Linked DNA regions of Cricetulus griseus. The protein of the gene in region 2 purifies or fractionates together with the protein of the main gene of each other region. This does not show direct contact. Links are inferred from orthologs where the notes say so. Each region holds a gene or a part of one and is shown on either strand. Other genes may lie near its edges.

Evidence for each region. The genes of interacting proteins can lie anywhere in the genome.
Region 1: the proteins of Polr2b (region 2) and Ints6 purify together in Homo sapiens (affinity purification with mass spectrometry; 3 studies listed by BioGRID and IntAct, with this or other methods). This does not show direct contact. The link is inferred for Cricetulus griseus from reciprocal best matches to the Homo sapiens genes POLR2B and INTS6.
Region 3: the proteins of Polr2b (region 2) and Polr2m purify together in Homo sapiens (affinity purification with mass spectrometry; 3 studies listed by BioGRID and IntAct, counting the BioPlex papers as one, with this or other methods). This does not show direct contact. The link is inferred for Cricetulus griseus from reciprocal best matches to the Homo sapiens genes POLR2B and POLR2M.

Annotation. Positions count from the first base shown.
Region 1 is NW_023276807.1:217,770,840-217,775,340, forward strand, and holds the start of Ints6 (integrator complex subunit 6), read right to left. Parts: upstream 2,897-4,501; 5' UTR 2,406-2,896; coding exon 2,295-2,405; intron 1,945-2,294; coding exon 1,867-1,944; intron 1,070-1,866; coding exon 920-1,069; intron 1-919. UniProt on the Homo sapiens protein: Component of the integrator complex, a multiprotein complex that terminates RNA polymerase II (Pol II) transcription in the promoter-proximal region of genes.
Region 2 is NW_023276807.1:143,707,600-143,711,346, reverse strand, and holds part of Polr2b (DNA-directed RNA polymerase II subunit RPB2), read right to left. Parts: intron 3,012-3,747; coding exon 2,847-3,011; intron 653-2,846; coding exon 456-652; intron 311-455; coding exon 191-310; intron 1-190. UniProt on the Homo sapiens protein: Catalytic core component of RNA polymerase II (Pol II), a DNA-dependent RNA polymerase which synthesizes mRNA precursors and many functional non-coding RNAs using the four ribonucleoside triphosphates as substrates.
Region 3 is NC_048597.1:182,991,254-182,995,697, reverse strand, and holds the start of Polr2m (protein GRINL1A), read left to right. Parts: upstream 1-1,548; 5' UTR 1,549-1,688; coding exon 1,689-1,801; intron 1,802-3,601; coding exon 3,602-4,240; intron 4,241-4,444.

The DNA of each region.
Region 1 (4,501 bases), about 74 Mb from region 2:
CAGGAAGAATTTCCCTGAGATGTTCAAAATTCATGAGAACTGTGCATTATGGAACTTGGGAAGAGTATATAACATATATTCCTAAATATAGTATTATGGTAATAGTGCTTTGCATACTGAATTTCTTGGGTGTGATACTACTGGTGTGCAGCAATACATATTCTTTGTTATCTTTTATTTCTAGGATAGCATATCATAAATGGATCATCTCACATTTCCTTGGTAAATGACTGCTGTGACTTAAAGCTCTTGCCTCATCCTCACAAATGAGAGGAACTTTGAGGAGCTTCAGAAAGACAGGCAAGTTTTCATGTTTCCCAGAAAACATTTTCCCAAGGGTTTTGAAATTTTAAACTTTAAAAATTCTCAATCTGTCATTACTTTCAGACTTCCTACTATAGTAACTTCTAATAGTATAGGCCTCAAGAGACATCTGAATGTCAACCAATGACTGCACTACTGACAAATCTCACCTTTGCAAGTATACAATCTAGGTTAAGCTAAACCCTCATCTAACAGTCATGTCTTCCAATGTCTTTACTAATATAGAAGAAACTGCAGTCAACGGGACAGCTGTGACCCACTGCAGTAGTTACATATGTACCTACACGTGGCATAGTTTCAGAGTGGTGTATTCACAGGGTATCTTCCCCTTGATGTCTTTTATGAACTTTGAGGGACTGAAACCAAATTCATGTCAACTTTATAGCCAAGAATTTAGATTCGAAGTCTACAGGGAAATACACTTAAAGGGGAAAATGAGGGAACTCATACACCTTAGGTGTTTTGAACTGTGTGCACACTAAATTTCAACCTTGTTATGTTTTATACTTGCATTTCATGTTGCATACTTTTGGACTGGATTGTGTTTTTGTACACATAAATAAAAACAACTTTTCTACCTTAGTATTCAACCTACCTGCCCATAGTTGTCTATGCCAGTTACTAATCTATTTAAATTTAACAAATCAAAAGCTGTCCTTAGGGATTGGCCAAGAGTCGTAAGTCCTTCTGCCTGAAGGTTTTTCAGTTCATTCATAAACGTTGCATGATTTTCTTTCCATCCAGCCTGAAAAGAAAGATGTAAGAATTTTTTTTATCATTTGAAGCCACAGCACACATGGACACCGATTATAATGTGATGTCCACCAAGCAGGCATTCCACTTCGGGTTTGTATAGTTAACTTCACTTTTGATTGATATGGCTTGGGTCACATGTTATAACTGTTGTCTCTGGGTGAGGAAATCTCTTCCAAAGGTGGCCAAGAATGAACCTGCTTGCCCTACACAGTCTTAATACTTTAATAACTTCACTGGGAAATTCGCTAACATAACATCCTCCAAATTGTGTGTAAGGGGTGGGTGTTGCGAAGGTACTAGTGGAAGGCAGATGGCAGCAGGACTTCTTAAGTTGACCACAGCTGTCCCACCAATCGGTGGCCTTCCTAGTTCCACTCTGTGATGACCAAGTCTCGAAGCCCCCCTCCTGGCTTCCCTGCCAGCTTGGCTGATTCCCTTTTAATGCAAACCCTGGCTAGGCAAGGCTGGGCCCGGCTGTCACTCGGGCTAACTTGAATAAATATCCCCCACAGTTCATTGCTGCCGCTCACGCCGCGGAGGGGAAATGTCGGCCATGTTGATCGTAGCGCCTCCACCGCCAGGCCGAGCCAGACCCGGAGGGGACGGCGGTGGGCCAGAAACTGCCACCGCGCCGGCGCTCCCGAGCTGGGGAGGGGTGGGAGGCCACAGGGGAAGGGACCTGGAGGCGGGAGCCGCGGTGGGGGAGGGGAGCATAATGAAGAGGGGGGCGGGGAGGGCGAGCTAGGAAGGAGCAGGGAAGGGAGGGGGGAGGGCGAGGGCTGTTACCTTGATAGCATAGGGCGGCTCTTCGAAAGTGACCAGCATATACCTGTCTCCTCTGCTGGCAGGGTCCCGGGCACGGAGCTGCGGGCCAGGGTGGGGACGGGAGGGAGAGAAGGAAGCACAGAGGCGAGGTTACCAGTCGCAGAAGGGTCGCTGGCCGCCCCCACAGTACCGTACACACAGGGCCACCACTCCGCCGACCCCCGCACCCACAGTAGCCCCACATGGGCCAGGCCCAGCGGAGCCCGCTCCCAGCTCCCAGCGCCCGCCCGCTCGCCCGCTCGCCCGCCCGCTCGCCCCGCCCGCCCGCACGCCCGCGCGGTGGGAGGGGTCCCCGCGCCCGAGGCGCCCGCAGTAGCCCCGCCGCCCCCCGCCCTGCCCCCCGCGGGCCACCGGGTCGGGGTCGCCGCCGGGGCTCGGTCAGTCGGTACCTTCATGAAGGTCTCTACCGCGCCTTTGGCCGTGTCCAGGTAGGTGGTGCCCAGATGGCTGCGCTGGTTCATAGAGGCAGACGTGTCTATCAGGAACAGTAAGATGGGCATAGTGCTGGCCGGGGACACCGGGGCCCGAGGTGGTGAAGAGATGGCAGAGGTGGAAGCACCGGCGGCGGCGGCGGCGGCGGCAACCGCCGCTACGCGGGGCGGGGAACGCGGCCCCCGGGAGGAAAACACCGGCTGCGGGGAGTTTCTCCCCCGATAGTTGAGAGGAAACTCCCCAGCCCAGGTCCTCCCGGTCGTACCCCTGCCTCCGGCCTGCCTGCCTGCCTGCTGGGGCGGCCGCACGGACGCCTGTCCGTCCGTCCCCCCCGCCTGGGGGTCCCGTCCCCACTCCCGGCCCCTGTGTGTGTCCCCGCGGGAGACGGGCCCAGTTCCCCACCCCACCCCCAGTGCAGGGAGTGGGGACCAGGGATCTGGCGAAGAGGGGACTGGGCTGAGGGGAGATTGGCCCTGGGGCTGTTGGGAGAAGTTTCAGGGACTCCCTCCGCACCCCAGCGGTGTCACCACTTTCTCAGCCCCTCTCGCTACTGAAGCGCTTTTCTCTCTCACTCTCCGGTTTTAACTCGGGCAGGGGCTACGTAGGCTCCGCCCCTGACACGTACTCGTGTCACGTGATGCGCAGGCCCGCAGTTCTACTGGCTGGTCCTTAGAGCCTTATTAGCATATTCAAACAGCTCAGGGGCGGGGGAAGCTTGTAGGCAGACTCAGAGGACAGTTATTGAGCACGCGCGGAGGCGGGGCACCGGGTGCGCGCTAGAGCCAGCGCGAGGGGCGGCCGCAGGTCCCGCAGCCGGGAGGCGGGCTCCGGGAAGGGGCGGGGACACGCCGCGGAAGCGCGGCGGATGGGGGCGGGGACTGGGTCGGCCCGCGCAGGGCGGCAGCGGCTGTGGGCGTGCGTGTCAGGGCGGCCGGCCTTTGGGCTGTGCTCGGTGACAGGGTCGGGAGAGGGGAAGTGGAAGCCGCCCTCAGCCTGTGGGCGAGGGCTCTGCGTCGCGATTGAGAGTGCAGGGCTGAGGAGAGCCAACTGGCCGGGGCTAGGGAACCGCGCAGGCCCTCGCGGCCGTTGCAGGCCGGGCCCCGGGACGGCCCAGGGGGGAGGGGAAGTGAAAGGTTGTTTATGACCTGGTGCTAATCCCCGCCAGTCATTCGGCTCCGGCTGCAGCGAGTCAGAGCACCCACAGAAAGGGAAGCCAGTCCTGGAGTGCCTCCCCCAACCCTGCAAACACGAAGGGGAACTCAAGTATGGACCAGGAAAACAGCGGTCCTCCCCAACCAAGTTCCCCTCTTCCACTCGTGTTTGGGCACTAGAGTATATTAAGAAAAAAAGGAGCTTGCCAGATTCTAATCCACTGCCCTCGTTTTAAAATGGAAAGGATGACCACGTTGCGCAGGTGACCCAGAGAATAGATTTCCCGGAAACCCGCCTTTCAGTCCCTGCCAGTATTGTGTCAGAAAAATTCTCTGCCCATGTCACATTACCTGAAGCCTTCAATCTGCGCCTGCAAGACGTATGAATTGTTCTCAAGTGTAGTTGGAAAACTGCAGGACGCTGCCTGATACACAAGTTGAATTTGGGACATAGAGGCCTGGTTAGACTGTAGGTATTTATAGGGCCTTTCCCACCGGTCCTGCATTTCCGGATTTTCTCTATGCTGAAATTCTGGCCTGCTGGGCAACTGAAGTGGCATGTTTGTGACACTTTTTTTTTTTTTTTAATCTGCCCTTGTTGTTTGGGCTTTTCCTAATATTTCAGAGGGAAAAAAAGAACTCGGAAAGTTTTTAATTTATTAAAAACAAATTATAGCATACTGTTTTGTGGGAATGAACCATAGTAGAGGCATGAGTTTTTTGTTTGTTTTGTTTTGTATTTTGAGACAGGGTGTCTCTGTGTAGCTTTGGAGCCTCTCCTGTCACTCGCTGTGGAGAACAGGCTGACCTCTAACTCACAGAGATCCGCCTGCCTCTAATTCTCCAATGCTGGGATTAAAAGTGTGGTGTGCACCACCAACGCCCGGCGAGGCATGAGATTATTAGAGATTAAGACTATAAAAAAAAAATGATGAACTAACAGCCAGTATCTGCTGCAGACTAGGGCTAGTGGGAATTAATATATGAAAAAATGAGGGCCGGGACTTCAAAGA
Region 2 (3,747 bases):
CTGATCGAGGCATCTGAGGAAATGGGTCAGTTAGTAAAAGTATCTGTGAAAGCATAAGGACTTGAGTTTAAATCTGTAGCACCCATGTATAAAGAAACCATGTGAGCCACTCTGGGACACTAAGGAAGACCCACCTATAATGAAGTAATGAATTCTCTCTACTTAGGCAAAGTCATTCTGTAATGCTTACCCTCTAAACAAGAATGCAAGCAGGGGCCCAGCAAGATCCAATCTTTTGTTTCCATAGTGATCTCTGTCATCTAGTTCTCTTCTACCCAAAGCGGCTAGAAGTAGCCTATGAACCATATACCTACAAAAGAAAATGAAAACACTTGATTTTTGGTCTTTCTTGACATATCTCAAAACACAACTTATAACATCCTTAGCTTTATGGAAAACCACTTTATCTCAATTGTAACTTAGCAAAGATCTTCAAACAGTAAAATTTAACTTACCCCAAGAAATAGGCTTTTTTGGTCTCACAGAAATCACTGACACCAACATGAGGCAGCATTTCTTTCTGTAAGACTTCTTTTGCATATTTAATTCTTTTCTCCTTAGTAACACCAGGCTTTGCTCCTCTTGAACCAATGAAGTTCAAGGCAACATTCTGTTCTTGGATGACAAATGCTTCATCAAGAGATGGTTTAACCTACCAAATAAATTATAGTTAACTTTTTCAGATTTATATTTTTACCTAACGTGACTTTATTGACACGTGAAGTAAGTTTCTAGCCTATTGTTAGAAAAGTCAAGAGACCACATTTTAGATCTACAAGGTTCCTCAGAGATACAGAAGTGTCTGTCAAAATCCACCCAATGTAAGCAATCCACTTTCTCAATAAATATAATTCTACTAATTTAAAAGTAGTATTTTGCTTTTCATATTTTAATGACCAACAGTTTAAAACCAAAAATGAGACATTTCTTCTAGATATTTCAAATATATTTAGAGAAGTTTCATGGTGCAATTAAAATTTGCAGAGCTACAAATGAATGGTTTTCTTTTCAGTGCTTGCAGGAAGAAACATTTAACCTCTATACGATATCACTCACTATAGTGAAAAAGAGACTATTTTCACACTGCACTGTTGAACAGACCTATATTTCATTCTTGCCACTATCTATGACCTCTGAGCAATCAAGTTACTAGTTTCCTCATCTAGGAAAGGGCTAGATAAAATAATTCTTCCTAGGGCTGTAACTCACTGTCTGAGAGCTTGCGTAGCATATGAGGACCTAGGTTTAATCTCCAGCACCCCTATTCCCATCCCACCCTCCCCCAAAAAAACACTTTTCCTGGGGCTGGAGAGATAGCTCAGTAGTTAAGAGCATTGGCTTGCTCTTCCAAAGGAACCACAAGGCAGCTCAGACCTGTCTGTAACTCCAATTCCAGGACTTCTGAAACCCTCACACAGACAAACATGCAGGCAGAACACCAATACATATAAAATAAAAAGATCATTATATTTTTTTCCTGACTACTATTCCAATTTTAAAATTTTCAATTTCTAATTGTACAGAATAGTGGGCATAAGAAATCAAGGTAAGGACCCTCTTATCACAGTAGGCATTGCTTTTGTCAGTATCACAATCTGGAGAAATCAGGGGAAGCACTAAGTAGTTTGGCATCCATCATGTACCTTATACATATGGAAATGCTTTTCTAGAGTGTGACTTATGTGTTTTCTCTCATCCACCCACAGTTCTAAACATAAATTTTAATTATGGTATCAAAAGTCAGAAAAAAAAAGCTACATAAACCAGTCAAGGCCAGACATGGTGGCACATGCCTGCAGTCCCAGCACTGGTGAGACAGAGTCAAGAAGACTATCAGCCTGGTATACATAGTAAGATCTAGGCAAACATGAGCTAAAAAATGAGACCCTGCCTCAAACAAAAAAACAGTAAAATTCCCACAGATAGATGGTGGGTCAAGTAATTATTTTTTAAAAGACACCTGGTACCACTGCTATTACAAAGTTACTGTTTAAGGTATTATTACTGGTGTGTGTGATGTCTGTGTGCTGTGGAGGCTGGGGAATACTCTGCCGAGTTGGTTGTCTCTACTCCTTTATGTGTGTTTTGGGTACTGAACTGAAGTTGTCAGGCTTGTATAGTAAGAGCTTTTATCCACTGAGTCATCCTAACAGCTTGATTTATTTTTTAATTTCTTGATTTTAATAAGTATACTGGGTTGGACAGCAGTGGCACACGCCTTTAATCCCAGCACTCAGGGGGCAGAGGCAGGCAGACCTCTATGAGTTCAAGGCCAGCCTGGTGTACAAAGCAAGTTCCAGGACAGCCAGGGCTGTTACACAGAGAAACTCTTGTCTCGTGAAACAAAACAAAAAATAATTATACTATGATTACATCAATGAATGTTCTGTTTCCTAGGAAATAAACACTGCATTAAACAAACATGACATCTACAACTTATTCTCAAATGGTCCAGAAAAGAATAAGACAGAGAAAATGTGACAAACCCAAAAAAAGTTCTAGTGGTATTCTTACAATATCCCTGAAAGTTAGAAATTCTTTTCAAATAAAAAGATTAAAAAACCAACTATCAACTACTCATCTTCTGTTTCACTAAACCACTGTAGCCTGGAGGCCTTTCAGTTTCCTCACTGCTGCTTCTTCCCGCTGCTGTCAGACTCCAGCTGCCTCCACTTTTACTGTCAGGAAGAGACTGGGGCCAAGCTGAGCTTTCACTGCACGGTAAATGCCCCGGGTGTGTGACAGGCAAATTGCTCCTAAGTGCATGTGTGATGCTTTAAGGTTGGCAATAATCAGCATCTCTAAGCTTCTTACACACAGGAAACATGCATTTGCTTTCTCATTACCATTTCCATCATCTCTGGATCTTCAAAGTCATAAATGATATGTTCTAAAATATCTCTATCAGACACAAAGCCTAACGCTCTGAACACAATTATGATGGGAACTTCTTGCTTGATATATGGTAAGGTTGCCACAATGCGCTGGCCAATAGCACTCTTCTTTGCACCCTAGAAAAGAAAACAAGTGGTATCAGAACATGGGTATACAAGAGCTCAGAGAAACAAAAGATAGCAAATGGCCCATTTAGTACATATTTCAAAAGAAGCATATCTATCCATTGTCCTAAAGCTTCTTTTATAAACCACTGAAAGAGGCTTACTAAGTTTTTGTTTGGTTGGTTGGTTGGTTGGTTTTTTGTTGTTGTTTTTTTAAGTTTTTGTTTTTTTGAGACAGGGTCTCACCAAATAGCCCAACTGGCCCAGAACTCACAATGCTCTGCCTGCCTGTGCCTCTGGAATACTGAGATTAAGGTTTACTGCTTTTATGAACAACCTGATCATTTACATCTAAGAAAACTTCCATTCTCTACTATCTGCATGCCAAGATTCTCTAAGAACAAATTTGACATTTGGAAATGGCTTTTGGCAGCCAGAGAATAAAAAAACAACTGTTATAAAAAGCCACCCTGTCCACAGTAGGAGGGGAATAAAAAGCAGATTGTGAGGGGTGCTGGAGAAATTGTCTGGTGGTTAAGAGCACTTGCTGCTCCTGTAAAGGACCCAGGTTCAGGTCCCAGCACCCACATGGGAACTCACAACCATCTTTAACCTCAATTCTAAATGATCCAAGGCACTCTTCTGATCTCTGTGAATACTAGCAATGCACATGGTGCACATACAAAAACGACAGACCAAACGCTTATACACATTAAATAAAAATAAATCTTAAAAAGAAATAGATTAG
Region 3 (4,444 bases), on a different chromosome or scaffold from region 2:
AGAGGAGATGGGAAAGAGAGACGGGAAAACCACAAGACTAATTTCTGGGGGGAGTTAAATACCCTGTGGGAGTGGTCTTGAGCATCTCTGGGGGAGGGGTCATCATTTGGCAGGCTTCCTGAGATGCAGCAGGGTTTGGAGGGAGATAGGAGATGGGAGGTTTGGGTAGAACTTCAACAATAACATTCCAGATTCTTTGGGTATATGGATGCCAGGGCCTGGGGTGAAGCTTCCACTATAACAATGAACACCTATACAAAAATGTTGACAGTGATTTGATTTATGATCATTAATAACTGAAAACAACTCAAATATCATTCAGCATAAACAAGCTCACATAGTACAATACTACTTAGCAATATAAAGAAACATTGGCATAGATGAACTTCAAGATCATTACACTAAACATTAACAAAGCCAGACTCAGAAATTATCAAACTATTTTCCAAAGAGGTTCTACTATTTGCAAACCCCTCCCTGTTTAGCTGTCTATGGAAATCTCAGATCTTCTTCTTTCTTCTTCTTCTTCTTCTTCTTCTTCGTCTTCTTCCTCCTCCTCCTCCTCCTCTTCCTCCTCCTCCTCCTCCCTCCTCCTCCTCCTCCTCTTCCTCCTCCTCTCTCCTCCTCCTCCTCCTCCTCCTCCTCCTCCTCCTCCTCTTCTTCTTCTTCTTCTTCTTCTTCTTCTTCTTCTTCTTCTTCTTCTTCTTCTTCTTCTTCTTCTTCTTCTTCTTCTTCCTAACACTTGACAGGGTCAGTCTAATTCCTGATATTCTGATTTGTCCAAATATCCAAATCTTGTTGTTTTGTTTGTCTTGAGACAGGGACTCACTATGTCGCCTTGGCAGGTCTCAAACTCACTATGTAGATCAGGCTGGTCTTGGACTCACAGAGATTAGCCTGTCTCTGCCTCCCAAGTGCTGAGATTAAAGGCATGCACTACCACGCTTAGCTATATTGTGTTTATAAAATGCATTTTATAATTGCTAGTAATACTGGTCATTCATTGTTTTTTAAATATTTATTATGTTTTGATTGTGTGTGTGCTCGTATGTGTGTGCATGTGAACCAGGTGCCTGCAGAAGCCAGGGAAGGTTGTGAGATGCCCTAGAGGTGCAGTTAAAGGCAATTGTAAGCTACCCCACAGGGGTGCTGTTACCCAAGTTCTAGTCCTCTGCAAGAGCACTATGCACTCTTAACCACTGAGCCATCTCTACAACCCCCTGTCATTTATTTTTACGGTTATTAGTGTTCATTCAGGAATCCCTGTGAAATGTTTGTCCAAACACTGTACTGCTTAATTGAGATGTGACACTATTACTTCTGGCATACTTTGCTTAATAGAAGTGAGTCAGTAAGTCTTTGACATGGGTGTCCTATACTTTCTCAAAGCGAAGTCGAAAAGCTGGGAAAGCAAAGGACACACATCCAGCGAAAGCGCGCCAAACCCAGACACTTCTGCGGTGATGTAACTTCCGCCCCTGAGCTCTTCCTCGGGCGCCCCCTTGCTCCTGGCCCGGTCCGTTTCCGGCATTTCAATAAAGCTCCATTCGGCTCGAAGAAGCCGTGCTCTTCCGGGAAAATGGCGACTCCCGCTCGCGCGCCCGAGTCGCCGCCGGCCGCGGAGCCTGCTCCCGCCGTGGGCCCCGCCGGGGAGCCGTGCCCTCCGCGTCAGCCGCAGCCCGTGCACAATGTTCTCGCTGCCCCGCGGCTTCGAGCCCCCAGCTCCCGAGGACTTGGGGCAGCGGAGTTCGGCGGAGCTGCGGGAGAGGTTGAGGCGCCAGGAGAGACTTTTGCGCAACGAGTAAGCGGTGGCTCGGGGGTCGCGGTTGCGGGGAATCGGGACCGGGATCAAGGGATAGGCTCTCGGGGGTAGAGATCCGGGACCAGCCTCCCGCTCCCCGCCGCGGCCTTTCGGGCGAAGGTGACCTTGCGTGGTCATGCCTCCTGGCCAGGCCCGTGCTGCGCGCGGCGTTCCTCCATGCTGCCTGGCCCTCAGCAGGCAGCAGCGCCTGCTCCATTCCACGTCCCCACAGCGGCTTTGAGAAAACGTAACCCTGGGGACCCAGTCCTTGCGACCAGACGGCGTCGATCCCCGCTTCTCTATCTAGAGCCCCACTCTTTCCCAAAGCAAAGGAGACGGGGAGAGTGTGCTGTAAAGATGGGCTAATTAGGCCTAGAAAGTTTCGCTCCCGCGTAGTAGGGTGGATGATGATAGCTGACGTTTTAATTTTTAAAGGCAGCTTTGTTTAGGAGCGGGGTTGAGGTAATAAGAGGCAGAAGACGCCAAAAATGTATTTTTTTCCGAGAGATTTTTTTTCAGCAAGATGGGAAGGTGAACTGTGAAGGCAATCGAGAAACTGGGAAAACTTAAGTACTGGTGAAATAATTTGGAGATAAATACATATTCATAGTTAACAGGTGGTTGAAATTTCTGGGGAGCCACAAAGGATAATGAGAAAATTGGGAGAGAGGAATGGATTCAAGGTTAATTTTTTTTTTTTACGCGGGTGTATTTAGTGGAGGGGAATAATGGCAGGCGTTTAGTTAGTTAAAAGCCAACTGATTAAACCCTGAGAAATGGGTACTAGGCTCAAGAGAGGGCTGAATAAGCAGAGGAACCCCAGTTGCAGAGAGGCAGAAAACATGAATGTGGTGTGGTATCGGGAATAATAGAGGACCTAAGAGATCTTCATTTGTTATGTAACTAAGGGAAAGAACCAGAAAGGGAATTTCACTGAGCAAAAGGGGCCAGTGAGCACTGGAGACAGGTATTGTTTTGATTCTTTTTTTTTTTTTTTCTTCTTTTTTTCTCCAGAATGGGTTGTTAATAATAGCAATAAATTAACCTTTTGATCTCAGGACATTTTTAGATTCTTTAAGAATCACTGGGCATCCCTAAGAGCTCCTGTTTATTTATACTGGCAATATTGCTGATTTAACAGAAACAACTTAAGTCTTTCACAAAAACACATAAGTCCATCTTCCTTTGTAAGATAGTGATGTATTCTATTATGTGACCTCTGTGAAACCTGTTGTACTCAGCTTTTATGACAGAAATGGCAAATAGTGCTTTTGACCCATTTTTCAGCCTCATTAGGGTTCAAAGACCATATTTTTAAAACCACTAGTCTTTATTTATATTGAACAGGTTGAATATCTGCTTTCCTAAATACACAAACCAGAATTTTATATTTTTAGGGAGATTGGAATGTATATGTGAGTGTATTGGGACGGTATCGAGTTAAGACCCAAGTCTCAAAATGATTTCAGTTGTTTCTTATATATGACTTTCAAGGTAATTTTGTGTTGTGTTCTTTATAGCTTGGGTTTTGACTGCATCTCATCATGTGGCAAGGTGTGAAGTTTTCCACAGGGCAGTCATTGTCTGGGCTTGAAGAATTTCAGATTTTAGATTGGGAAAATATCTGATGGGTTCCTGTATTAGGCCAGATAAAAATCAGATTTATTTTGAAAAAACTTCAAAGCCAGCTTTTCTTTGAGGATTATATTCTGCCTTTTAAATACCGTGTTTTCATGTTTAAAAACATGGCTCTAATGTGTACATGTTGGTTTCTTTCTTTCTTTTTTTTGCATTTGACAGAAAATTCATTTGCAAATTGCCCGACAAAGGTAAAAAGATTTCAGACACCGTTGCCAAACTGAAAGCTGCCATTGCAGAACGTGAAGAAGTTAGAGGGAGAAGTGAACTGTTTCATCCTGTTAGTGTAGACTGTAAGCTAAGGCAAAAAGCAACCACACGAGTTGATATCGACATAGACAAGGCCCAGAATTCTGACCTGATGCTTGATACTTCATCATTAGTTCTTGACTGTTCCTCTGTAGACATCAAATCATCTAAAACAACCTCAGAAACACAAGGACCTGTACATCTCACTCACAAAGGCAATGAAGAGACTTTGGAGGCTGACTGCACAGTGAACACCGGCCCTGTTCCCGGCAGTACAGCCAGGGCACCCTCATCTGAAGTTAACAAACATCTCCCCCAACGCCCTGTTTCAAGTCAAGTGGAAGACATTTCCAGCAGCATTGACAGTCTGTTTATCACTAAGTTGCAGAAGATCACAATTGTAGACCAGAGTGAACCCTCAGAAGAAAACAGCAGCTCTGAGAACGTGCCGGAGCTCCAGAGTGAGACGCCTAAGAGGCCTCATTACATGGAAGTGCTAGAAATGCGAGCCAAGAACCCAGTGCCCCCTCCTCATAAGTTTAAGACCAATGTGTAAGTGTCACAGAACAGGGAACAGGCTTGTCCCAAGAATGTTTCATGTGGTATGCCAGTTCAGAGAGTGCTGTGTGTGTGTGAGGATCTTCTAAGCAGGAGTGAACATAACTGAAAATAGACCAGCATGGCTGGACTGGAGGACTGCTCTTGAAGTCATCGGAAGGATTTTACATAGCAAATGGGGAGTAGTGTGTTTCAAGA